Regions from separate parts of the Mus musculus genome. Here region 1 is reported to be linked to region 2. The links are microRNA targets in miRTarBase. Many come from high-throughput screens and were not tested one by one. Region 2 holds a microRNA gene; the other region holds the end of a gene's coding sequence.
The links. Region 2 holds the annotated microRNA mmu-miR-5125 (UCUGCCUGGGAUUUCCUUGU, at 1,724-1,743, opposite strand). A microRNA usually pairs through its seed, bases 2 to 8, with sites in the 3' UTR of a target mRNA and lowers its output. Matches are read on the target gene's strand: a 7mer-m8 pairs with bases 2 to 8, a 7mer-A1 pairs with bases 2 to 7 and ends in A, and an 8mer does both.

Region 1: the mRNA of Lpl is a reported target of mmu-miR-5125. Seed matches in the 3' UTR shown: 7mer-m8 at 449-455 and 8mer at 984-991.

Annotation. Positions count from the first base shown.
Region 1 is chr8:68,904,300-68,908,299 of GRCm38, forward strand. It overlaps Lpl (lipoprotein lipase), which reads left to right. Exons shown (of 10, transcript NM_008509.2): 10 at 207-2,633. The coding sequence ends at 207. Among named protein-coding and RNA genes, the nearest start is that of Lpl, 26 kb to the left of the region's middle.
Region 2 is chr17:23,820,955-23,825,081 of GRCm38, reverse strand. Mir5125 (microRNA 5125) reads right to left here and starts at 1,791; the gene lies at 1,713-1,791. It overlaps Srrm2 (serine/arginine repetitive matrix 2), which reads right to left. Exons shown (of 15, transcript NM_001368687.1): 11 at 3,392-4,127; 12 at 2,382-2,669; 13 at 1,178-1,291; 14 at 962-1,066; 15 at 341-866. The coding sequence ends at 857. Elob (elongin B) reads left to right here. Exons shown (of 4, transcript NM_026305.2): 4 at 103-342. The coding sequence ends at 215.

The sequences.
Region 1 (4,000 bases), not on the chromosome of region 2:
ACATGACCTGGTCTTCTGAAGATGATGCTCAGATGGGGGCCTCTCTATTTCTGCCCCAGGAGACTACTGCTTTTCCACATCTATAATCTGCACCACACAAGCTCTGTTCGGAACGTCACTGCTTCCTCCTGACAGTGCTGGGGAGGGAATGGATTTGTAGAAGACAAAGCAGATGATTAAATAGCCTTTCTTCTGTATTTCCTCAGACACTGGACAAACAAACAAGAGAAGAAAGCATCTGAGTTCTTTGAAGACAGAAGAAAACAAAGTAAATTTAATTTAAAAAAATAATACCCTTGTTTGGGTGTTTGAAAGTGGGTTTTCCTGAGTATTAATCCCAGCTCTATCTTGTTAGTTAAACAGAAGACAGTCTCAAATATTAAACGGTGGCTAACCCAGGGTGAGGAATCTAATGGCCCATAGCAGGTCTTCCAGCATTAGAAGACAGCAGGCAGGAGAAACATGCTGTCTTGTATCCCTTAAGAAGGAATCATTTGCTCCCAACAATATAAGACTCCATCATGTGACCCATTTGGTCATGGTCTAAAATTAGTAAGAACTCTGAGGTTTTATATTGAGACCTTTTCAAAGTTTTCTCAAAGTCTAATATAGACAATATTTTTTGTGGCATAAGTCAGGTCCATTTCTTTAGTGATTGAAACACCTGGCCTTTGCAACTAGTTTTTTTACCATTGGGATATATTCCCCCCACCAAAAAAAAAAAAAAAAAAAAAGTAACCAGGAACGTGTGACTTGGCAAAAGCAGTTGAAGACATGGCTCATGAAGTCCTGACCCTTGGTCCCACCACAACAAAGTACAAGTCAACAGAGATACAAAACCTAGACTGAGTAATTCTTAATAGACTTGAATTTTTATGACTTAATCCTTCTATCTTTTAAATATTTGTCAGATATTTTAACATTGTTCTCTGGAGCTTGTAAGCTGGGCAATGGTGGCACTCACCTTTAATCCCAGCACTTGGCAGGCAGAGGCAGGAGGATTTCTGAGTTCAAGGCCAGCCTGGTTTACAGAGTGAGTTCCAGGACGTCCAGAGCTACACAGAGAAACCCTGTCTTGGGAAAAAAAAAAGAAGAAGAAGGAGAAGAAGAAGAGGGAGGGAGGGAGGGAGGGAGGGAGGGAGGGAGGGAGGGAGGGAGGGAGGGAGGGAGGGAGGGAGGGAGAAGGAAGGAAGGAAGGAAGGAAGGAAGGAAGGAAGGAAGGAAGGAAGGAAGGAAGGAAGGAAGGAAGGAAAGAAAGAAAGAAAGAAAGAAAGAAAGAAAGAAAGAAAGAAAGAAAGAAAGAAAGAAAGAAAGAAAGAAAGAAAGAAAGAAAGAAAGAAAGAAAGAAAGAAAGAAAGAAAATGAGCTTGTAATTGAGGTGACACATAAATTTTGCTGAAAGACAAAAATGCCTAGGTTGATTTTACTTCTTCTCTTTTTTGCTTTCTTGAAAAAAGTCACAATTGTCCCATGCTGTAACCAAGTCTGGCCTCGAACTAAACTATGTATTTCAGGCTGGCCTTGAACTCTCAACCATCCTGCCTTAGCTTCCTGTGTCCTGGGAGCTTGAGAACTGTAATTTTATTATCAGATTTTTCTTACTTGTTTTCATCAATTTGAAATGCCCAATATCCAATACTTTGTATTTCATTTGAGACTCATCTCCGCCATGCCTCTGTCACACTTCTAACACATCACATTAATTTCTAGTTTAGATGTGATCAAGTTCAAATTCTGCACTGTGCAAAGTACAAGTTTTAGAGCAGGACCATTTTTTTTTATCACATAAAAGTTGAAATTACTAGAAAATGTGCATATGGATGCTTGTAAACTGCTGTGCAAAGAGAAGAGCCCTCAACTGTAATAGCTATAGAAAGTACCAGGATTGTTGCCGCTGTTTTGTTTTACCTTAACAACAACAACAACAAAAATCAATAATGAAGAATTATTTATGAACGAGATCTCACATTTTCAGATTGCTTTTATTATTCATTAATGTAAAATGATAAAGAAGATCTATCTCAGAGGCTATAGCTGGGAGCAGAAACTGTGAAATTTGTGGGTATCTGAACACCAACCCACATGCAAAGCCCCACAAGTGTAGTCGTCATTCAATGTGATTCAGAAAGGAAAGAGTCAAGGGATATACTGGAATATGTTAGAGAAGTAGTTCCAGATATGCTGGAATGTTAGCCCTTGCTAGGAGAAAGCTGGTTGTGCCTATGTAATATAGGACAAAGGTGACCGATTTCATCAAGTTTGGAGTCAATTCTAACAATAAAAATATGTATAATTTGTCACCGGCATCCCCATTATTGCTAATTCATTACAGTATATACACATCCATGCATACATATGTCAATGATGCTTTAGCTTTCAATTTATTTATTAGCTGTAAATAATGTGTGGGTATGTAAGAATGCTTGTAAACACTGGAAAGTCTGTTGTGGTTATCTGCAGTATAGATTTGTGGTGCTAACTTTGTGTCCGTCTCCATCCATGATTGTCTGTCTCACTGAGCCAACTTAACTCTGATGAAACAGTACAATGAAATAGGCTTTTGAAAGAAGAAAACTCACCTGTGTGAAGAAATGGTATCTGCTTTCAATAAAACTGAGAACATTTTATCATGATACTAAGTCATCATTTTGTATCATTTAGCCCTTTCTAAAGAAGAAATTAGATTTATTCTTAGGCCAGATTCAGACAACAAATTTTGACTGAATAACCACTAAAACATAGAAGTAAAATAAGTTTCCCATTAGATGTCTGCCTGACCAGCTAAGGAAATCAAATGGATCAATGTAATCTCAGCTCCTCTGCTCTGTGACAGTGCATATGTCCAGACTTCCCAATAAGCTACTGCTACACTTTGGGTACCAACAAGTTTATTACATCTCCCATCTTTTTTTTTTTTTCTCACAATACTCTAGATGGGACACCGCATCTGGAGACTAAGCATATATGCACATACACAGAACAACGGGACCAGGACCAGAGCAGAAATCAGTTTCCACAGTTGCTCCAATGACTGCTGACCCTTGGTGTCAATACCCGAATATGTGTAGTCTCTCCCTCATAGATATATGTGACCAAGAGCATGCTGAATAAGTTATAGCATATTGTTCTAAAAACTCAGGTTATTGTAGACTTCACCTTCCACTGGGGTCCCTCTTTCATGCTGACTCTGTCTTGGGGCACTCACCTGGAGGAATTCACGTTAATAAAACTCTAGAGAGGACCATGCGATACCAACTGCAGCTAAGACCATTCAGAGCCCAAAACTGGAACTCTGAGCATATGAGTAATTTGAGCTAGCTCCCTTACATCTAGTCAAGCTCCAAGGGCATAAATGAAAGATACATAGTTTGCTTTATCTTACTAATTTACTCCGTGTAAGTAAAACATTTATAAGTCCAGGTTTTGAAAGAACCAAGGAAGGTTAGTTACTCCTGTACTGAATTATCTGCAGGGTGGGTTTAATTTCCAATACTTTCTTTCCCTTTCTTTCTTTTCTTGTTAATATAGAACATAGAATTTATTACAGAGTAAAGTAGAATAGTCTCAAGGGGTCAGAGTAGACAATAGCCAAAGCTACCATGTTGTGTTAGAGACTAATGCACATACACAGAACAACGGATAAATGTAAAGCTACCATGTTGTGTTAGAGACTAATGCACATACACAGAACAACGGATAAATGTGTGCTTACTCCAGATAGGAACTGACAACAGAACAAATTAGTGCTATGACTGAGTTTAGTGTCGTTACTTACAGAAATATGAGTGAGGGCTTACTTACACAAGCTTCATAACTGAAAGAACACTCTAATGCACGTGACAACTCATCAAAGCTGCAGCCCTGGGACTCTCTGAGTGACTTGCTGACAGCTCACCAGGTGGGAGAGTCTGTTTCCTCCTCAGTCCTTGCTACATATATCAACAGTGGGGAGCAAGGGGCCTTGCAACTCCACTAAGGTTCAGGGTAGTCTTGATAGCTA
Region 2 (4,127 bases):
CATTGCCAAGTCAGGCAACCAAGGTGGGGAGGGTTATGGCCTTGATGGTTGATACAAGTCAATGAATGGAAACGCTGAGAATCTTCTATACCCCTTCCCCAGATGACACCTTCGAAGCTCTCCGCATCGAGCCCTTTTCCAGCCCTCCAGAGCTTCCAGATGTGATGAAGCCACAGGATTCTGGAGGCAGTGCCAATGAACAAGCTGTGCAGTGAGGGCCTAGGCCTACCCCCTAGAGACCCATTTCCCCAATAAAAAAAATTTGGCTGTCTACCTGATTGACTTTTCTGTTCCCTCTTGTTCACAGAACTCTTAACCCCAAGTAAAGACTACAGACCAATTACTGCATTTCTCATTTTTATTTGACAGAAAAAGTTGCTTTTACTGTACAGATTTTAAAAAACCAAAATGCCTTAAACAAAGTTGGGGGGGAGAGGGCCTCACAACCTTGTAAGGGGGTGCAGCAGGGCCAACCAACTTCAGCTCCTTCCTCTTTCAGGAAAGATTACAACTTACCAAGTTAAACCATCAGTCACCCAAGAATTTAGGGAGCTAACTCCCTGGATCATCACAATCTGAGGCCTAGATGTCCTGAGCTGTGCCCCTCCCTCCCTAGACTCCCTCCCTCCCACTCCAACCCCCAAAACACAAGAACCAGGAAAAACTCACAGAGATCAACATTTCACAGGAACCAAAAAAAAAAAAAAAAAAAAAAAGGGTGGGTGGGAGAGGACGCTCTCCCCTCAAGATGCTGCCAAGGTTCAAGGGAAGGCATACAAAGACTCCTTCCATGATTCTTCTGGGAAAAATGAGGAATACTCATGTCTCCAGAGTATGAGGTGTAGTGGAATCCAGATTATGGAGACCTGGAATAGAGAAGACTGGTCATTCTGGGTCACCACACATATCCCTATCCCTAACTACTAGCTCTCAGAAGGGCCAGACTTCCAAGGAGACACACCTGGAGGAGCGGTGACGATTAGAACGGGGACTAGGTGTCTCCTTCCTCTTGTGACCAGGAGAGTGACTGTCCCCTCGCTGGCCTCTCCAGGAAACTCGCTCACTGCTACAAGAGGAGAAATTAGGTCACAGAACAATACCAAAAACTTTTAAATTTTGCTTACAAATTAATGGTAGCTAGTTGAGTCAGGTTGCTAGCACCTGCTATAGGCCCTACCTCTGTAGATCCCTTGGTGAAGGTTGGGGCGAGGGCTGTCGACGCTCAACGGGTGAGTAACTGAGGGATCGGGAATCCCGAAGGGAGTCTATTGGCTTCCGAGGACTTCGAGACCTAGGAAGCAGAGTAGGCCTCTATAGCTCCACATCCTCCCAAACCCACCAGCCAAGCATTCAGGACCACCCACCCAGGTCCTGACCACCAAACCTCACACCACACAGGGCCAGCCTCAGACCCACCTTTGTCCGCACTCACCCATCCGCCCGCACACCATCCACCGAGTACCCCAGTGGACAGGGCACAGGGTGCAGCGGGGGATGCAAAGATAAAAGAGTCCCTGCCCTTGGAAGAATTTTGTTTGGTAGTAAAGGTTAACAATGAAGGCACACACGCCCCCTACATAGGAAACAGCCCAGCAGGATGGATATGCATGGGCCTGGGGATCCAGAGAAAGGATGGGGACCTGGGCAGGACAGGGAAATGGCAGGGCAGTCTTCTCGGAGGTGCTGTTTGAATGCAGTCTTGCAGAACGAGTTCACCAGGCAGACAAGGAAATCCCAGGCAGAAGGAACAGCATGTCCAAAGGCATGGGGCTCTCCTTAGACTGCAAGGCGCTGGGTATGGCCGGAGCACGGGGCATGTGTGGGGGCGGGCAGGAGGAGCACAGGGCGGGCAAGGGCAGCTGGTGAAGAGCCTCACACGCCATTCCCGCAGAGGTGGCACTTTATCCTGCAGGCCACAGGGCGTTCCGGAAGGATTTGTGGAGTGAAGGGAAGTAACCAGATGTGCGTTTTAGAAAGATCCCTCTGGCTACGTGTGGAAGAGAATGGCGTGGAGGCAGGGAGACAGGGAGGAGGCTGTGGACAGAGTCGGGAGAAGATGACGGTGGCCAGACCAGAGCCCTGCAGCAGCAATGGGGAGACTTAGAGCTAGATCTCTGAGACCAGGCTGCTTGTCAGGGGAGGGGAGAGGGAGGAAGAATCCTATGACTTCCCAGATATGGCCTGGGACACCTCAGTTAGATAGTGCAGCCCTTGACCAGAATACAACACTGTGGGAGGATGGGAGGAGTCCGGCACTCCTTCTCCCGTACAACCAGTCACAGACGTCCACACGAGGCACCCCAGCAGGAACCTCACCCAGGGTCCCCTTTCTGGAGAACTCACCCCAACCCCCCTTCCACAACAGGCAAGAAAGCACTCACCTCCTCTCGCCAGGGGGTGGCTTCTTGGGGCTTGCAGGTTTGGGTAATGCCTGAGGGCCAGGCTTAGCAGGGGAGGGGGAGGAGGAAGAGGAGGAAGAAGAGGAGGAAGAAGAGGAAGAAGAGGAGGAGGAAGATGAGGAGGAGGAGGAAGAGGAAGAAGAGGAAGAGGAGGAGGAGGAGGAGCTGGAACTGGAGCTGCTAGAGCGCCTCTTCCTTTTGGCCGGGGTTGGTTCCTGAGGACGTCCCTCTCTAATAGCCTCCTTTGGGACTGGGGTGGGGCTGGGAACCCTGTGAGAGAAGAAAGGTGTCACAAGGAGACAAGATGCCCCAACCCCAACCCTACCTTCCTTGGCCTGGAGGAACGGCAGTGGGGGAGGGGTGCCTGAGAAAAGCCCTGGGAAAACACGAAGGCAGGCCAGTGAGTAGTACTTCTCTGGAGCAGTGGCACAGAGCTGACCAAACCTCTGCTAACACAAGCAACAGGCTGGGGCCCGAAGCACAAGGGATCAAGGTTAAACCTCAAGAATGTCCCTGATGAAGGATTAAGGCCCCTGGACTCAGATGTGGAAGCTGAAGCTGGGTGATCTCCTTCCTTGGAGAGCCGCAGCTTGGGGAGGCCCCTGTGAGTGCAGGTTGGCTGGGGAGGGGCCGTCCTGCCTGGAGGCAGGGAGAGGGATGGGATGACCTCTGAAGATCCTTCCAGCCCAGGGAGTTCCTCTTGAGGTCTAACTGCCATCCCTCCTGCTGTAAAATTAAGTCCATTTCCTCTAGTTCTGTCCTCTGTAGAGATGGAAAACTTATCATTATCCTCTGGAGAATTAACCTTTGGAGACTTTTATCTGTCCCATTCCTCCCCACAAAGCCCCCGCCCAACATTCTTTCTACTCCCAGCTTGAAGGCCAAGGTCCCCCATACTTTCTCAAAGCCAAGTGCTTTTGACAAGATTTCTCCCTCCCTACTCACCCACCCATTGTTAAGTCCCTGCTCCCTAGATCCCTTAATTGCCTCACCTTTTCAGTGCCACCTCAGGTTGAGCTGGAAGGCTGGAACCCTCTGAATCACTAGAACTGGAGCCAGAGGAAGAGGAGGATGACGATGAAGATGATGAAGAGGAGGAGGAGCTAGATGATGATGAAGAGGAGGAAGAGCTCCGACGTTCCTTAGCTGGTTGCAGAGCAGCCAATGTAGAAGGCTGCTGGGCCCCAGTAGAGGCAGGTGGCTCCCCACCTTCAGCATGGGATATCCCAGGGGCAGGGCCAGAAAGCATGCCATTGTGGTCACTAGCAGAGGATGTGGACTTCGCTACTGTCCCGGATGAAAGGGACTGAGACCCTGCTACAGGAGTGGTCTGGACAACTGAACGAGATTGGTCTGAAAAAGCAGATGGCACAGGGGACCGAGGCCGATCCTGTGCAGGAGGGAGAAGAGATTGCGAAGAAGCCTGAACCATTCTTGAAGCAGGGGAAGGAGCCCGCTCACGCTCAGAGGTCATTCTAGACTGGCTTGGGGCAGATGGTGGTGTTCTGGACCTGGCTCGATCAAGCATTAAAGGTGAGGTTCTGCCACTAACACGATCATAAGCAGAAAGGGGCACCCTGGGACTGGTGAGGTTTGCACCAGACAATGCTGGAGCCATCCTGGAACTGGAGAGATTTGTGGGAGCCAAGCCTGCAGGGGTTCTAGAGCCAGCAATATTCACAGGAGCTGTGCCATGCGCAGATCGAGGACCCACCACCAGGTTTGCGG